Linked DNA regions of Notamacropus eugenii. The protein of the gene in region 2 interacts with the protein of the main gene of each other region in a pairwise test. Links are inferred from orthologs where the notes say so. Each region holds a gene or a part of one and is shown on either strand. Other genes may lie near its edges.

What was found. The genes of interacting proteins can lie anywhere in the genome.
Region 1: the proteins of ZNF410 (region 2) and SERTAD1 interact in binary tests that used the Homo sapiens proteins (3 or more experiments, as listed by UniProt). The two-hybrid records come from large-scale screens. The link is inferred for Notamacropus eugenii from reciprocal best matches to the Homo sapiens genes ZNF410 and SERTAD1.

Annotation. Positions count from the first base shown.
Region 1 is NC_092876.1:31,106,376-31,113,388, reverse strand, and holds SERTAD1 (SERTA domain-containing protein 1), read right to left. Parts: upstream 2,567-7,013; 5' UTR 2,357-2,566; intron 2,324-2,356; exon of another isoform or gene 2,172-2,323; intron 1,344-2,171; 5' UTR 1,340-1,343; coding exon 674-1,339; 3' UTR 514-673; downstream 1-513. UniProt on the Homo sapiens protein: Acts at E2F-responsive promoters as coregulator to integrate signals provided by PHD- and/or bromodomain-containing transcription factors. Stimulates E2F1/TFDP1 transcriptional activity.
Region 2 is NC_092878.1:56,326,763-56,334,074, reverse strand, and holds the start of ZNF410 (zinc finger protein 410), read right to left. Parts: upstream 3,018-7,312; 5' UTR 2,861-3,017; intron 1-2,860. UniProt on the Homo sapiens protein: Transcription factor that binds to the sequence motif 5'-CATCCCATAATA-3', and is specifically required to silence expression of fetal hemoglobin in adult erythroid cells.

The sequences.
Region 1 (7,013 bases), on a different chromosome or scaffold from region 2:
GTTATTTTCCATGATTAAAATGTAAGCTAGTTGAAGATGGGGGCCACCATACTTACATTTGTGTTTCCAGAGCTTATCATATAGAATTTGGTACACAGGAAGCTTTTAAATGCTTCATCCATCCCCCCATCCATCCATATTCTACCGCACTGAGGTCCCTCTTAGTTCTGAGATTGTATATTATTCAGTGTGACCTTAGAACAGAAAGTTAAAACTGGATGAGGTCTTAGGGAAACACATCTATTCCAACCATCATACAGAAGGGAAGCTGAGGACCAGAGAAAGTGAGAGACTTCCTCAAGCCCACACAGAGAGTTGGAGACAGAGTTGAGACCTACAGATCACAGGATCCAACCTCTTCATTTCCCAGTTGAGGAAACTGAGGCCCAGAGGCAAATAACCTTTCCCTGAGATTACCTGACAAGTAGCAGTAGCAAGGGTCAATAATTCACTTTAAATATGCACAGATGGGGGGAGGGAGAGAGGGAGAGAGAGAGAGAGACAAGGAACAAATTGTTTCATATATTAATTGTTTTCATCTTAAAAACCGTCCACGCTTTCCTCCCCACAATTCCATGACCCCCCCTCACCCCTACAGTCTGTAACAGGAGGGGAGCTCCCAGCAGCTCTAGTCCATTTCAGGTCTCTTGGGGGCAGGCAGGGAACCATTTCCCTACAAAGTCTGTGTACCCACAAGCACATCCATGAGGTAATCTAGTTCAGACACGTCCAGCCCTGGCCCCTGTATCTTGTCCTCTGTTTCCCCAGAGTCTGTTTTAAGATTGGGCCACAGTTCACAGTCATACATGGAGGTGTCAATGTCATCAAAAAGACCCTCCAGTCCATCCTCCAGGAGGAGCTCCAGGGACCCCACAGGGGCTGGCCGCCCAGGATCCAGGCCCAGGTCCGGGGGCCGGCTAAGGGGGGCATCTTCAGGGAAGGCTGTCTGGGTGTCACTGAGGCCCTCAATGTGACTCAGGTCATCCAGAAGGGCTGAGACAGACGTGCACAGAGGGGCATCAGGGACCACTGGGAAGGGGTCAACAGGAGCTGGAGAAGGGGGTTCTGGGGCAGAGGGCTCCAGGGCCATAGAGGACTGAATTCTCCTCAAGGTGTTGACCACCAGGACAAGGTGGCGGAGATCTGGCTCGCCCCTCCGAAGGCCATGGTGGAGTTTGAATATAGACAGGCTGAAGAGTGAGCTGGGGGGCAGGGGTGCTGGGCCAGCCCCCTCCTCAGGGCTTGGGCTGGGAGTGGCCTCCTCTAGCCACCAGTCCTGTGAGGTCAGGTTTTCCTCCTCTTCCTCCTCTCGCTTACGTTTCACTCCTTTGCACAACATGGGTCTGTGGAGAAATGGGGGTATGGGGTCAGAAAATGGTCTTTTGTGAGCATTCTTTTGGTTCTCTCCATCAAAGGACTCTGAAAACCCCTCTCCTGATGCCTTGGGACAATGAATCCCAGAAAATTAGCGAGAGACCTTCTAGTGCAGGGAGTCTTAACCTGGGGTCTGTGAACATTTTAAAAATATTTTAATAACTGTATTCCAATACTAATGAATTCTGAATTCTGTGTTTTATTTCATACACTTTAAAACATTATTCTGGAAAGCAGTCCATGGGCTTCACCAGACTGCTCCAGGGGTTCCAATACTAAAAAGGTCGACCCTCACTCCGGTATAATGGCCCCTGGAGCCCCTTCCAGCTCAGACTAGGATCCCAAGTCACAACACCGCTGGGCCTCAGTTTTCTCTTTTGTACAACTCAGATTGGCCTGCCAGGAGCCGGGGACCCCTCCTCTCCTTCCACAGAGCGGGGCGCGGGCAGTGGGGGCTCGGAGGACGGGGCTCGCTCTGGGCCAAGCAAGAGTCAAGGGCAGAGGCCGGACGCCCCTGGGGCCGGTCGGGTCAGCTGGGAGTGGGGGAGGGGGCAGCCTCAGAAGGCGGGCGCCCCCGGCCCAGCCTCGCTCGGCTCCCCGCCTGGCCCGGCCCGGCCCCGCTTGGTTCCGGCTCCGGCTCGGCTCCCCGCCCGGCCCGGCCTCCGCTCCCGCTTCCGGCCCGGCCCGGCACGGCTGCGGCGGCCGCGGGGGCGGGTGAGTCACGCAGCCGGAGCCAGGGAGCCGGCGCCCCCGCTCCCCGCCCCCTTCCCCTTCCCCGGGGCTGGGGCGTGATTCACCCCGGGCCGGAGCAGGCGCCAGCGGCAGCGACAGCGCCCCGGGTCGGGCCCGGCCTGGCGCCCGGGGAGCCGCGCCGGGAGCATCGGACGCCGCCAGGGGATCGGACTCGCCCGGGATGGCGATCCCCTCTCCGGCCCCCAAAGCCTACCCCCTTCCCCCCTTCCCCTTCGCCTCATTTACATACCCAACTCGTCGGCTGCCAATCAGAGGGTCCGCGACGCCACCAGCAGCCAATCAGGAAGCGGCAGAGGCGACCGCATCGCTCGCTCGCTCACTCCTCCCGCGGCCGGCCCCTGGGTCGCTAGAAGCTGCACTGGCCCGGGCGCGCGGTCGTGGGGTTGCTACTTTCCTCTGTTTCTGCCCCGCCCCTGAGAGGCTCCGCCCCAGGAATTCGGGATTGGTTCGCTTCCGTGATGGGCGGGGCTAAGAGGGAGGCGAGGCCATCCAGGGGCCCAGGTTCCCCGAGCTGGATTCCCCAGGCCCTGAGGCCCGGGACGGGGGCACTCTCTGGTTGGCCAGTCCGTGTGTCTTTGGTCTCAGCTGTCGCTTTCCGGGCTAGGGAGGGCGAGGGCGGGGGTCCGTTCTTGGGCTTTTGGGAAGGGTTGGATGAAGGAGCTGAAGAAACGGATTCTCCCCCACTTCCCCCTAAAAGGGGCTGGGTCCTCCCCTTCTTGCTTGGGTTGACAAGACCCCCACAAGCACCTGTTTAGCTAGCCCACCCCCTTGGACCATCCTTTCCTCCTCATTTTTGCCACAGAGACTCTGGCACCGAAGCTGGACCGAAAGGCCCTGAGGGAAATCGTAGAGCCCTCTCCCCCTTCCCCCTTGCCATCACCTTCCCGACCCAGCCTCCTTAAAAAGCCTGCTAGAGCGAGTTCTGGGGGGGTGGGGAGGGAAACCCTGGGAGCATAGTCTAGGTCTCTAGGACTCGGTGGATCTGTGCGGGATGGAATGGAAAATGCCTGGGGGCTCCGAGGCCCCGAGCTTGAATTTAGGCTCTGCTCCAGGCAGGGTAGACCTGTGTGACCTTGGCAGATCACTTTCCTTTTCTGGGTCTCCGCTGCAAAATCAGGGCTGCACCAGATAGTTTCCAAGGCTTTTGCAGGCCCAGACTCCTAGGACCCTTCCCTCTTTTGGACCCAAGTCCCTGCTTCGAATGAGGAGAGGCTTGAGCTCTTGAGGTCGCTGGGGCTCTGCCATTGGGCGATTCCAAGCAGCTGAGTCGAGCCCTGTCCGTCCCTAACTTCTTGGCAGCTGGGGAACAGATGAGAGAGGCCCCGACGGAGGGGAACAGTGGGGCGGAGTGGGGGGAAGGAGAGGAGGGCCTGCCCAAGGCACGGAAACGAAAGTTACAAGAAAACGAGCGCGCGCGACCTGTGGCTCCGAAGCTAGAGCACCCCGGGGGCTTTATTAGAGGGAGAAACCAGAGTCTTGGGGCCAGGAAGGGAAGAGCTAGCAGGGCCCCCGGGGTGGGTGGGGCAGGTGGAAGGGGCCCAGCTAGACAGCTTTCTCAGGAGTCCTTCCAGCAGTGTCCAGACTGTATCCTGCACCACAAACATACCCCTTCTCTTTTCCCCAACTTGTAGTCTGGAGGAGGGAGAGAATTCTGCAGAACTATCCAGCTGGTCCATCCTAGACTGGAGGGGAGCCATGATCTCCCCACAGCTGAGTAAACTCTCCTCACCAGACCCTGCTTTGAGGGCCAGCTCCTGGGGTTGAGGAGCTCTGCCAGCCCTTTTACACCCCTCCTCCTAAACAAAGTGGGGTAGTAAGAAGAAAGGAGACACTGAGTCAGAGCCTGTCACCACTCTTCCACAAAGCCCCCCTCCCCCAGCAGAAGAAAAGGATTTCCTCCTGTATTACTACACCCCGATATGAAAAACTTTTGGGTTCCAGGACTCTTTTCCATTCTTAGAAATTATTGAGGAGGTACTTCCCGACCAAGAGCTTTTGTTTGTCGAATATCAATCTCTATTTACCATGTTAGAAATTAAAACGTCTTCGTATTATTATTAAAAGTTTTAACATTGCAGACTTCCAGAAAGGGCCCCAGGGGTTCCCCAGGGGTGCACTCTTTGAGAGCAGAGGATTTGAGGTAAGTTTCTTCCTCTTCCAACCCTAAATTTCCCCCTAAAATGTGGAGATTGGATGAGATGATGTCTAACTTCCACGACTAAGTCTAAACTGACCACCTCACCCAGGAGTACCCTTAAAGGCAAGGAGGGCCTGGTGGAGAAAGCGGAAACACCTGCCCCCTGCCCCTATAAGGCAGGCTACCTGTTCCTATCCACCAGAGGCTCCAGGCCAAAAAGCATGATGGGAAGAAGAATGGATTAAAGGGACATTATAGAATTTGAAAGTTTTATTCACAAAAAAAAAAAAAACCCAAACAGGTAAAATAGGTCTTTTCAAAACAGAAAAAAAAGGTGTGACCACAAATAAAGATTCCTTTATCCCTGTTGCACTTCATCAAAGCCTCTTTGGGTAGGGAAGGGGGTGATCAAGCACAAAGGAGGGGGGCAAAGGAGGGGGGTACTCCTGGCCAGGAGGGGGGGAGGGGGGAGGAAGAAGATGTGATTTCTTACTGTTTCCATACCTGTCAACCTTGGGAGTTGGGTGGAAGGGAAGGGGGGGTTGGTCTAGAGCCCCTCCTCCTGGCAATCTGGACTTTGTCTCCCCAGAGGCCCAGGCTCCTGGCTTTCAGCCCTGCCCTGCCCCCTTTTTTTCCCCAGGCAGTTACTCAACCCTGAAGCCAGCTTCTTCATGGGATATGAAGCCAAATTAAGGGAAAAATTAGGGAGTACCCGGGGACCAAGCTCCTAGGAGACTAACTGGAGTAAGAATAGCAGCCCCAGAGTGCTTGGTCCTTGCACACCATGGGCCAGTCAGGGTGATAGGGGGAGAGGAGGAGGGATTCCCTGGCAGCAGCTTTGGCTGTGGGAGGATGAAGACAGGGGGAGCAGTGTTCCATCAAGCCATCAAAAAAGAGAGATACAATCTGTTTTTTTTGCCATCAGCAGGCCCTGAGACTAGGCCAGGAGACTTTCCCAAGTCACAAGGAAGCTTCACTACAGCTTCCTGAGATAGGAAATCTTTGGAGACCACTTTCTTGAAACTCTTCAGAGGTAAGCAAGTATCTAAATGAAGGGTTCAGGGTCCTAGGGGACTTGGGGTCTTGCCCCACACCCCCACAGTCTTATGATCCCTTGATGATTTCCAAAATTTGATCCAGTTCAGTCCAGTCCCATTCTGTCCCAGAGGAGGAGGCAAGGGCAAAAAGTGAGGGCCAAGAATCCCTTTCCACATCTGATGTGTCAATGTCAGGGAAGAGGTCATCAGGAACCAGGTTTCCAAAGTACCTGTTGCCCATGATCTCAAAGCTGCCTAGGGCAGGTTCCTCAACTCTGACAGATGGGGAAATTGAGGCCCGAAGAGGGGAAGGTGTTGGCTTGCAGTCACTCAACAGATCAGGGGCAGAGGTAGGGCTACAACTCAGATCTGGGGGCTCACAGTGGTCTTGTGTGATTCTTAAGCCTCCAGCTTATCACCTCCAGCTCTCTGAGGAACTTGTTGGCAGACTGGGCAGTTGAGGGTAAAAGCAGCTCCAACCTAGGTTCCTGGGGCAAGGCTGCGCTCCTCTCCAGGTTCATCTCTTCCCTGATGTGGTTCAGGGTGTCTGTGATGAGCACTTGCCTCAGGAGGTTTGGGGGAAGGCTAGCTGGAATTTGTCCATTGAAGGGCAAATTAGGGTCTGGCCTATGCCAGACCTGTTGGACATGGAATAAGGGGCCTGCTCCTGGGACTCCTTCCCGACCTCCACCTCTTCAGGATCTTGGTGATCATCCAGGTGCTTTCCATTCACACCAACCACCATTGTCCCTTTATGGGAGAAGGGGCAGGAGTTAGGAGACCCTGCTTGCACCCCACAGGGTCCCTGCTGAAAAGGGTCCCCAGAGAGCCCCGAGTCCTAGACAAGTCTCTGCCACTGACTCGATATGGGGTCTCCGTTAAGACTCTTACCAACTCTAAGTCCCCCTGTAATAAAATAGTGGGGTAGGATTGGAGACTCTGTAAGGACCCTCTTCTGAAAACTGGTAGATGGATTGGACTTGGCAAGGAAAACTTGCCCTATTGTTTTATCCTCAAAGATAAATTTGGGAAATGCCCAGGATTTTGGTTTTATATTATTATAGTGTGAGAAACAGGCTGAAGCAATGGGTAGAGAGAGCTGGCTTCAGAACCAGAAAGTTCTGGGTTCAAATCCTACCTCAGACAATACCTATGGTGGGACCCTGGGTAAGTAACTTAATTTTTAATGCTCTTGGCAACTCAAGACTATTAATTACTGAGAAGGTGCTGACCTGCATAGGTAGAGGGATTAGCCTCATTTGGAATCATGAATTGAGACCTGGAAAGGAACAAAGATATCGAAGTTATTCAATTTTCCATTTTACAAATAAGGAGATTTAGGCTGAGTGGTTCAATGACTTGCCCATGGACGCTTGTTTATAGAAGGATTTGAACTCCCGTCTCTGACACTCAGTCCAGAATGACATCCACTGGGTCTTCTAGGAGTTCCTTTTACCAATAAGATCGAAAGCCCTTATCCTTTTAATATCTCAGTAATCAGAGTCCTCCCCTACCCCCTCCGTCTTCCCCTCTTCCCCCTTGATTTGGACCTCTGTTAAAATACTCTGTCACCGCTTGTGAGTAGTAAGTAGACCTTTCTGGGGCTCAGTTTTCTTATTTGCAAGATGGTTTTTAAGATCCCTTCTAGGTCCTATGATTCTGATATTCCAGGACTTTGATCGCCCGGGGATCACTGCAGTAAGGTCCCCTCA
Region 2 (7,312 bases):
AATGGGGCAAATTATCTCTCATAAAAGAGGCAAGCAAAAGACTTTTTTAGTTTGGGGAAAAAGAGGGGAGGTGAGAGAAAAACATGAAGTTTACTCTCATCACATTCCACTAAAGGAAGGAATAAAATGCACACTCATTTTGGTATGAAAACCTATCTTACAATACAGGAAAGTGGGGGATAAGGGGATAAACAGGGTGGGGGGGACGATGGAAGGGAGGGCATGGGGAGGAGGGTGCAATTTGAGGAGGGACAGGATCAAAAGAGAGAATAGAAGTAATTGGGGGCAGGATAGGATGGAGGGAAATATAGTTAGTCTTATACAACACGACTATTATGGAAGTCATTTGCAAAACTACAAAGATTTGGCCTATATTGAATTGCTTGCCTTCCAAAGGGAGGGGGTGGGGAGGGAGGGAGGAAAAGAAGTTGGAACTCAAAGTTTTAGGAACAACTGTCGAGTACTGTTCTTGCCACTAGGAAATAAGAAATACAGGTAAAGGGGTATAGAAAGTTATTTGGCCCTACAGGACAGAGGAGAGGATGGAGACAAGGGCAGAGAGGAATGATGGAGGAGAGAGCAGATTGGTGATGGGGGCAATTGGAATGCTCGGTGTTTTGGGGTGGGGGGAGGGGACAAGGGGGGAGAAAATTTGGAGCCCAAAATTCTGTGAAAATGAATGTTAAAAGTTAAATAAATAAATAAATTTTAAAAAAAAAGATACAGAGGACTTTCAAGCATTCTTGATGAAAAGACCAGAGCTGAATAGAAAATCTGACTTTCAAACACAAGAATCAAGAGAAGCATGAAAAAGTAAACAAGAAAGAGAAATCATAAGGGACTTTACTAAAGTTGAACTCTTTATATTTCTACATGGAGAGATAATATTTGTAACTCTTGAGACTTTTCTCAATATTTGAGTAATTGGAGGGATATATTCTTTTTCCTTCCTACCATTTGGGTGCCAATGCTCCCTTCAAGACTCAGGTCAAGGGACACTTGCTTCAAGAAGTCTCTCCTAATTACCCCAGTTGTCAGAGCTCCCCCAATCATCATATTTATATATTTATTCTGTGCATACCTTGTATTTACTTGTGTGTGAAAATGTTTGTACCTCACCAAGTAAGGTTTCCTGAGGAAAGGAACTGACTCAATTTTATATCCACACTGCCTACCTAGCACACAGGAGGCATTAAAATAATAACTAAGTCAATAACAGTCCTCAACATAAAGAATAAATTTTAAACACTTGCTTAATAGTCACATGTTACTATATAGCAATGTGTTTGTTAAAATTACTGAGATAAAAACTGAATAATAATATACTATATAACTCGCCCCCTAATTTAAGAAGCCACTTGGACTATTCTCTAACCACTGCCCAGTCTGTACCTTTGATCCTTTCAGCCCTATCTGTACAGTGTTGGGTCACAGGAATTGATAACAAGGATAATTTAATGGAGTAAGACAAAAATCCTATTGATGGTAGGACATTTTGCAGACAAAACATGTTCAAAAGCAAGAAACATGATACATACAGCAAATTGATAATATCCAAATTTTCGAATGGAGTAGTACTTTAAGAGATCAACAAATTCTACTGATAATTATGGTGTACTTGATACTACCAATGAATTTGAGAGTTGCAAAGGTCCTCATAAAGTCAAAACTATCCTGTTTAGTTCAACAAATTTAGAATAATTCAATTAGGACGTGGATCAATTACCATATTTCACAGATAAAAAAATTTGAGAAATAAATGATTATGCACCCAGCCATGTAGAGACAAGCTAGAGCTAAAATTTAGCTCTCCTGAGCGCCACAACACCGACTTCCTTTATACTATAGAGCAGCACTGGAGTGGTCTCTCCACTACAAACCAAATCTCCCGATTTTAAAATTTCCTTAATTTTTAAGACTGAAGTAATTACCTTTTAAGCTCTGTATTTGTGACCCAGGTAAACACAACACTGATATTTACAGAATGATAACTTCGGAGCAGAAGGGGGCCCTCGAGGCCATCTGCCCTCTCGTTTTACATGCTGGAGTCCTAACCCACTGCGGTGGTCTCGGCACGAAAGGGGTTAAATGGGTTCGAATTTTAAGAAGCGACCTCTATCAAAAATAAGGACCCAAATGCTCGATCGGAAGCATTCCCAATTTAAAACTGTCCCAGATGAGCTTCCAGCACTGGAACATGGGATCTAAGGGGAACTTTCTTAAAACAAAATAACAGTGCCTCTCCAATTGTTTCTTGTTGGAGACGGAACAAAACTCACTAAGGGACTGCGGAGTTCGATACATTAAATGAATGGGGGCGAGGAGCCCAAAAGGCAGGGGGAAGGCCAGGCCTTCGGCCACCCTCGGCCCTTCCGTGGACCCCTAGCCAGGGCGGGAAGGCCGAGGGCAGCCCGGGACGACACGTCCAGGCGGACGCAGCCTCGGCCACCCTGGGACGGACACCCGCCTCCATTTCTTCCAGGGCCCTTGGACCAGGAGCCGAGTCCGGGGAGGGGGAGGCCGGGTGCGCCCGAGGGTAAGAAGGCAGCGTCGCCCCAGAGACCCCGCCGGAGACCTCGGACATCTCGGGGCTCCTGGGAGCTCCCCAGCCCTCCGGGGAAGAGGCCCGAGGCTTAAGTCTGCGGCCCGGCGGCCTAGAACAAGAGGCCCCCCCGCCCCCTCCCCGAGAGCGGGGCTGACTCCCGCGAAAGGAGTCTCCGGGGGGCAGCGTCCCTTTCCCCTCCCACTTGCCCTTTGGGGACCCGGAGCTGCTCCGCCCGCCTCCGCGCGGCCTGGACTCCGCCGCGCGGCCGTCACCCGACGCTGACCTGGCCTGGCCGCACACAATCCCCGCTCTCACCTTCCAGCCCTGAGCGGCCAGCAGTCCCTGGTCCCTGAGTCTGTCCAGAAGCGGGGCTTCCGGCTCTCGCCGGAAGCTGTTTGAGCGCGGGACAGGAAGTTTGAGCCTCCTCCCCTCCCCGCCCCTCAAGCCGATAACTCCACGCCACTCAGGGGAGGAGCCGGGGACGAGACCGAGGCGGACGTCCTTCCATTGGTTGGAGTGGTGTGGCGGGGGCGGGCTCTCACCCTCTACATCCAATCAGTCACCAGCTCTACTCTTCTCCCTTCACTACGTCTGTATTCAAAACAGCGTTTTGGAGTCTGGCAAGTTGTGGGCACCGAGGGAGCTGTGCTAGGTCTGACTGAGACTCGTTTTCCCAGAGAATAAGGTGTTCTAGGAGAAAGTGTTTCCCTGAAGCAATGAGGGGAAGTGTGCATTTTTGTTATTATTATATCTTCGTAGTGAATAAATATCCCTTTGTAAAAGCTAACTGACGTGAACAGGTTAAGTGGAACCCGAGTGCCTCTGTAGGTGAGCCCCGAGGGGGCACATGGCTGCCCTTACAAGAGACCCCCACAACCTCCCGGGGCACCCCCAGGATCCTGAGGCGGAGATGGGCCAGACGGACCCTGGGATGGTGAGTCCAGAGCCAGAATATACTCTCCTCAATTGTATCCCAAGTGATTTACAGTTTTTCTACTTACGGTACGATATTTCTAGAACTTGCTGGGTTTTAAACTTCTTATCATATAGTTTTTATACTGGTTTTTCATTTATACTTTTGCTTTTTATTCACTTTGTACTTTTGTATTCTGTTGTACTTGCGTGCTTAAAATTCAGACTTGGACTCTAATTTTAACAGGATTTGAAATACCATGTTTCTTTTTTTTTAAATGTTATTTTAATTATGAACTTGAAAAATACCAACAAATGTGAGCATTTCCAGATACGGAGAATAGAAAAAGAGTCATGGACATAAAAGTGCAAATCTCCATTGTATGAATCATTGTTTCTCTTTAAGTATAATCCATACGTTACTTCCAGAATTGTCCAGCTTCTCTCTTGTCTCTCGAGTCTGTTCAAAACACTTTAGGAGGACTCCTTTTTATCTCTGCCTGTTATTAATCCTCTCTCCTATTACTCACCTTCCCCATTAAAACCCTCCCTTGTAATTGACAAGCAGTCAAGGAAAACAAATTTGCAAATTGACCACCTCGAAAAATAGGTATCTCATGAAATTGTGGTCTTGAAAATAGTTTTCTGATCAATGTAGCCTAATGACCTAACATCATAAGGTTAAATTGTCTTAAGTGGGACTTTTTTGTATTCAAGTTCATGTTGGGGTTTATATTCAACAATAATCAGCAGGAATTGTGCTTTTAGACACTGATCAAAACAGAAATATTGGAAGTGTCCAAAAGCTTGCATTCTTTTGGTAATTATAGTAATTCAGCGTGAAAATCATTCAACAGTTTACATGGTGACTTAAAAGTTTAATTTTGAGTTTTTAAGAGTTATATTGTTTAGTACCTCTTATTCTTGAATAAACTGTGAGTAAGAGTGCTATTTTACAAACTCCCACAGCGTTGTAAAATGATATGTTTAGGACAGGTGTTTATTATTCACCAAACAATCCATTAAATTATTTCAGAAATATTGTGTAATAATTACTTGCAGAATACTTGATAGCATTGTGAATCTTGGGTTTCTCAACCAAGTTAGAGATGAGTAGTCACTATTCCTGAGGGAATCTTGATTTGGGAGGCATGGGGCAGGCGAAGGGAGAAGGGAGACAAGAGAGGCAGAAATATAAGAATGAGAAGACAACATCCACCTGAAGAGATGAGCTGATAGTAGAAAGAGAAACTGAAACAGGGCAGAGGCTGCCTACTAATTCATGAAAGCAGCAGGAAAAGAATGAGAAAATAAAAACAGCAACTTCCAGCTAACAGAAGACAAACAGCATCTGAATGTGCTGATGGGACCTGACTGGAGAAGGCAGAATCTTTCTGTATGAAGAACTGGCTGGGTTTCTCTGAATTGCTCTTTAGCACAAAGCCCAGAGAGCCGCATAAGCGCACATGGAAAGCTGAAGGCTGTAGAATCAGAGCTGCTGCACCTGTTTAAAAGAAAAGCTCAGTGCTGCTCTGGTTGCCTAACAGTAGCAGAGTAGTAGCTTCATCCAGCAGGAGAGTAGAGAGGCCTGCATAGCAGGTGAAGGACAGACTGTTTAAAGTCTGTAGTCCAGAGTTTTAAGTTGCTGTGGGCACATGAGTTTTCTTACAGTACTTCAATACTAGGTTTCTTTGTGTGCCCACTTTCCCCCGTGGACATCGTATGCATAGGTAGAAGAATGTGTTCCAGTTTTATAGGTATACCGTTATGTTTTGACTATTCTTGATTTTTCCTTCTCTTGAAACGGTTTTTTTAAATGATTTTTTTTGTGTGTGTGCTTTGCTTTCTGATTAGTAAATATGTGGCTTTTTAGGAGTCAATTGTGTCATTTTGACTACTTTGTATAAATGAGAAACAAACAAGTTGTGGGCGTGTATTCCCACCCCATCAGAAGGGCTGTTGTTAGGACCCTGAAGATGAGCAGTAACTGTATGGCCATCCCTCTGGAAGGACCACCCCAACCTGATAGAATGGGTAGGAATAGGATGAGTGAGTCAGCTCCAGCTTAGGGTGAGAGCCTAGAGAGAATTAGTGAGATGTGCTTCGTTGGGTTTTTGTTCATTAAAATAGGAGGAGGAGAGAGTAGTGCATGGGGTGCCAGGAGAGAAGAGGGGATGGTGTAGGGACTGCCAGATGATGTGAGTAAAGGTGAGAGCAGCTGGAAGACCAGACTCATGACTTCAGAATCCGTGGCTGATCATTCCGCTCCTTCTCTGAGGCAGGGAAATGAGAAGTTAATGTGCATCCTCCTTAATTCATTCATCTCATTCTCACTTCCTCATTCTACATTTCCTTTTCAGAGAAACAGCTTTGCCTAGCCCTCTTGGTGTCGAGGATATCTCAACAAGTGTCTCGCCGGAGGATAAACCCTTCACTCGCATTGTACCCCGTATGCCAGATGCCAACAAACGAGCAGATGGCAGTACTGGAGGTTTACGCCGTAGCGACTCTCCAGAGATTCCTTTGCAGGTTGTTGCTGGCCCATCTGATGGCCTAGACTCCTCCTCTCCAGGAAACAGCTTTGTAGGGCTCCGCGTTGTAGCCAAGTGGTCCTCCAATGGCTATTTTTATTCTGGGAAAATAACACGAGATGTTGGAGCTGGGAAGTATAAGCTCCTTTTTGATGATGGCTATGAATGTGATGTGTTGGGCAAAGACATTCTCTTGTGTGACCCGATTCCGCTGGAGACAGAAGTGACAGCCCTTTCAGAGGATGAATATTTCAGTGCAGGTAATGAAAGGAGCAAAGTTTTTAATAGCTCAGTGTGTCCTTGGATACGTGGGGTGCTTTCATCAGTTACTGAAAAGTCCCCCCAACCTGACTATTCATTAGGGTCCGGTCAGAAATCATTCACCCAAAACTAGCCGCTCTGATTGCTTCCTTTTTTATTTACTGTCTGTCTTGATAAAACCAGACAGATGACTGCAACTGAAATAAATCAGATAAGTAACTGTTCCTAGGAAGAAGCTGTACTGATGCCTGCGGGTGTTCACATGTATGCAAAAGTGCACATACCCAGTTTTGTCTGGTTTGAGGAACTGGCTTTCTGTCCTCACTCCTTCCCCTCCAGGGTACAAGTTTCTGAGGGGTAGCAGTGAGAATCTTTTCTGCTCTATGCCTTTCATTGTTTCCTCTTTCTGAATTAAACTGGTAGTAAGATATTGTTCATTTGTTACTTAGAAACAGTTTACCTTTCTCAGAGTTTTTCTTTTCCTTTAGATGATGAGGAAAAAATTATTTTGTTTCTGAGAACTCAGGCAATATTTTATGATTAGGAATCTTGAGTTTCTATTGCTTGCTCTTGTCAGTCTGGAGCAGGCTTGCTCATCTTATGGTTCTTGATGGCAGGGCAGTTTAGAAAGATGATGTCTAGTAAGAGTTCCATTTTTAAAAAAATTTTGTTCTGTGACTGAAAGAATTCTACCAAATATATGAAACAAAACAAACACCAAAAATTTGGTCTAAAATATGTTCCAGATATATGTACCAAATTCTGAAAACTTGGTTTTAGGTACGAAAATAGCTCTTGTAGGTCCGCGTTTAGCTCTTTGAACACCAAAGATATATTGTCTCCAGAATAAATCCTGGAGAAAATAATTTAATTCGATCCCTTTGAGCTCTCAGAATTATTTCTACAAGTCAGTACCAGTGGCTTGTTTTTTAAATTCTTTTGTTTCTTTTTTAAGTCTATGAAGTATTATGTAGCTCTTACTCTGGCTGATTAATTCTTGACTTGCTGGTGTTTCTTTTAAAACTTGGGATTTCTCTTGTTGAGTTCTGTAGTTTTGTGGAGC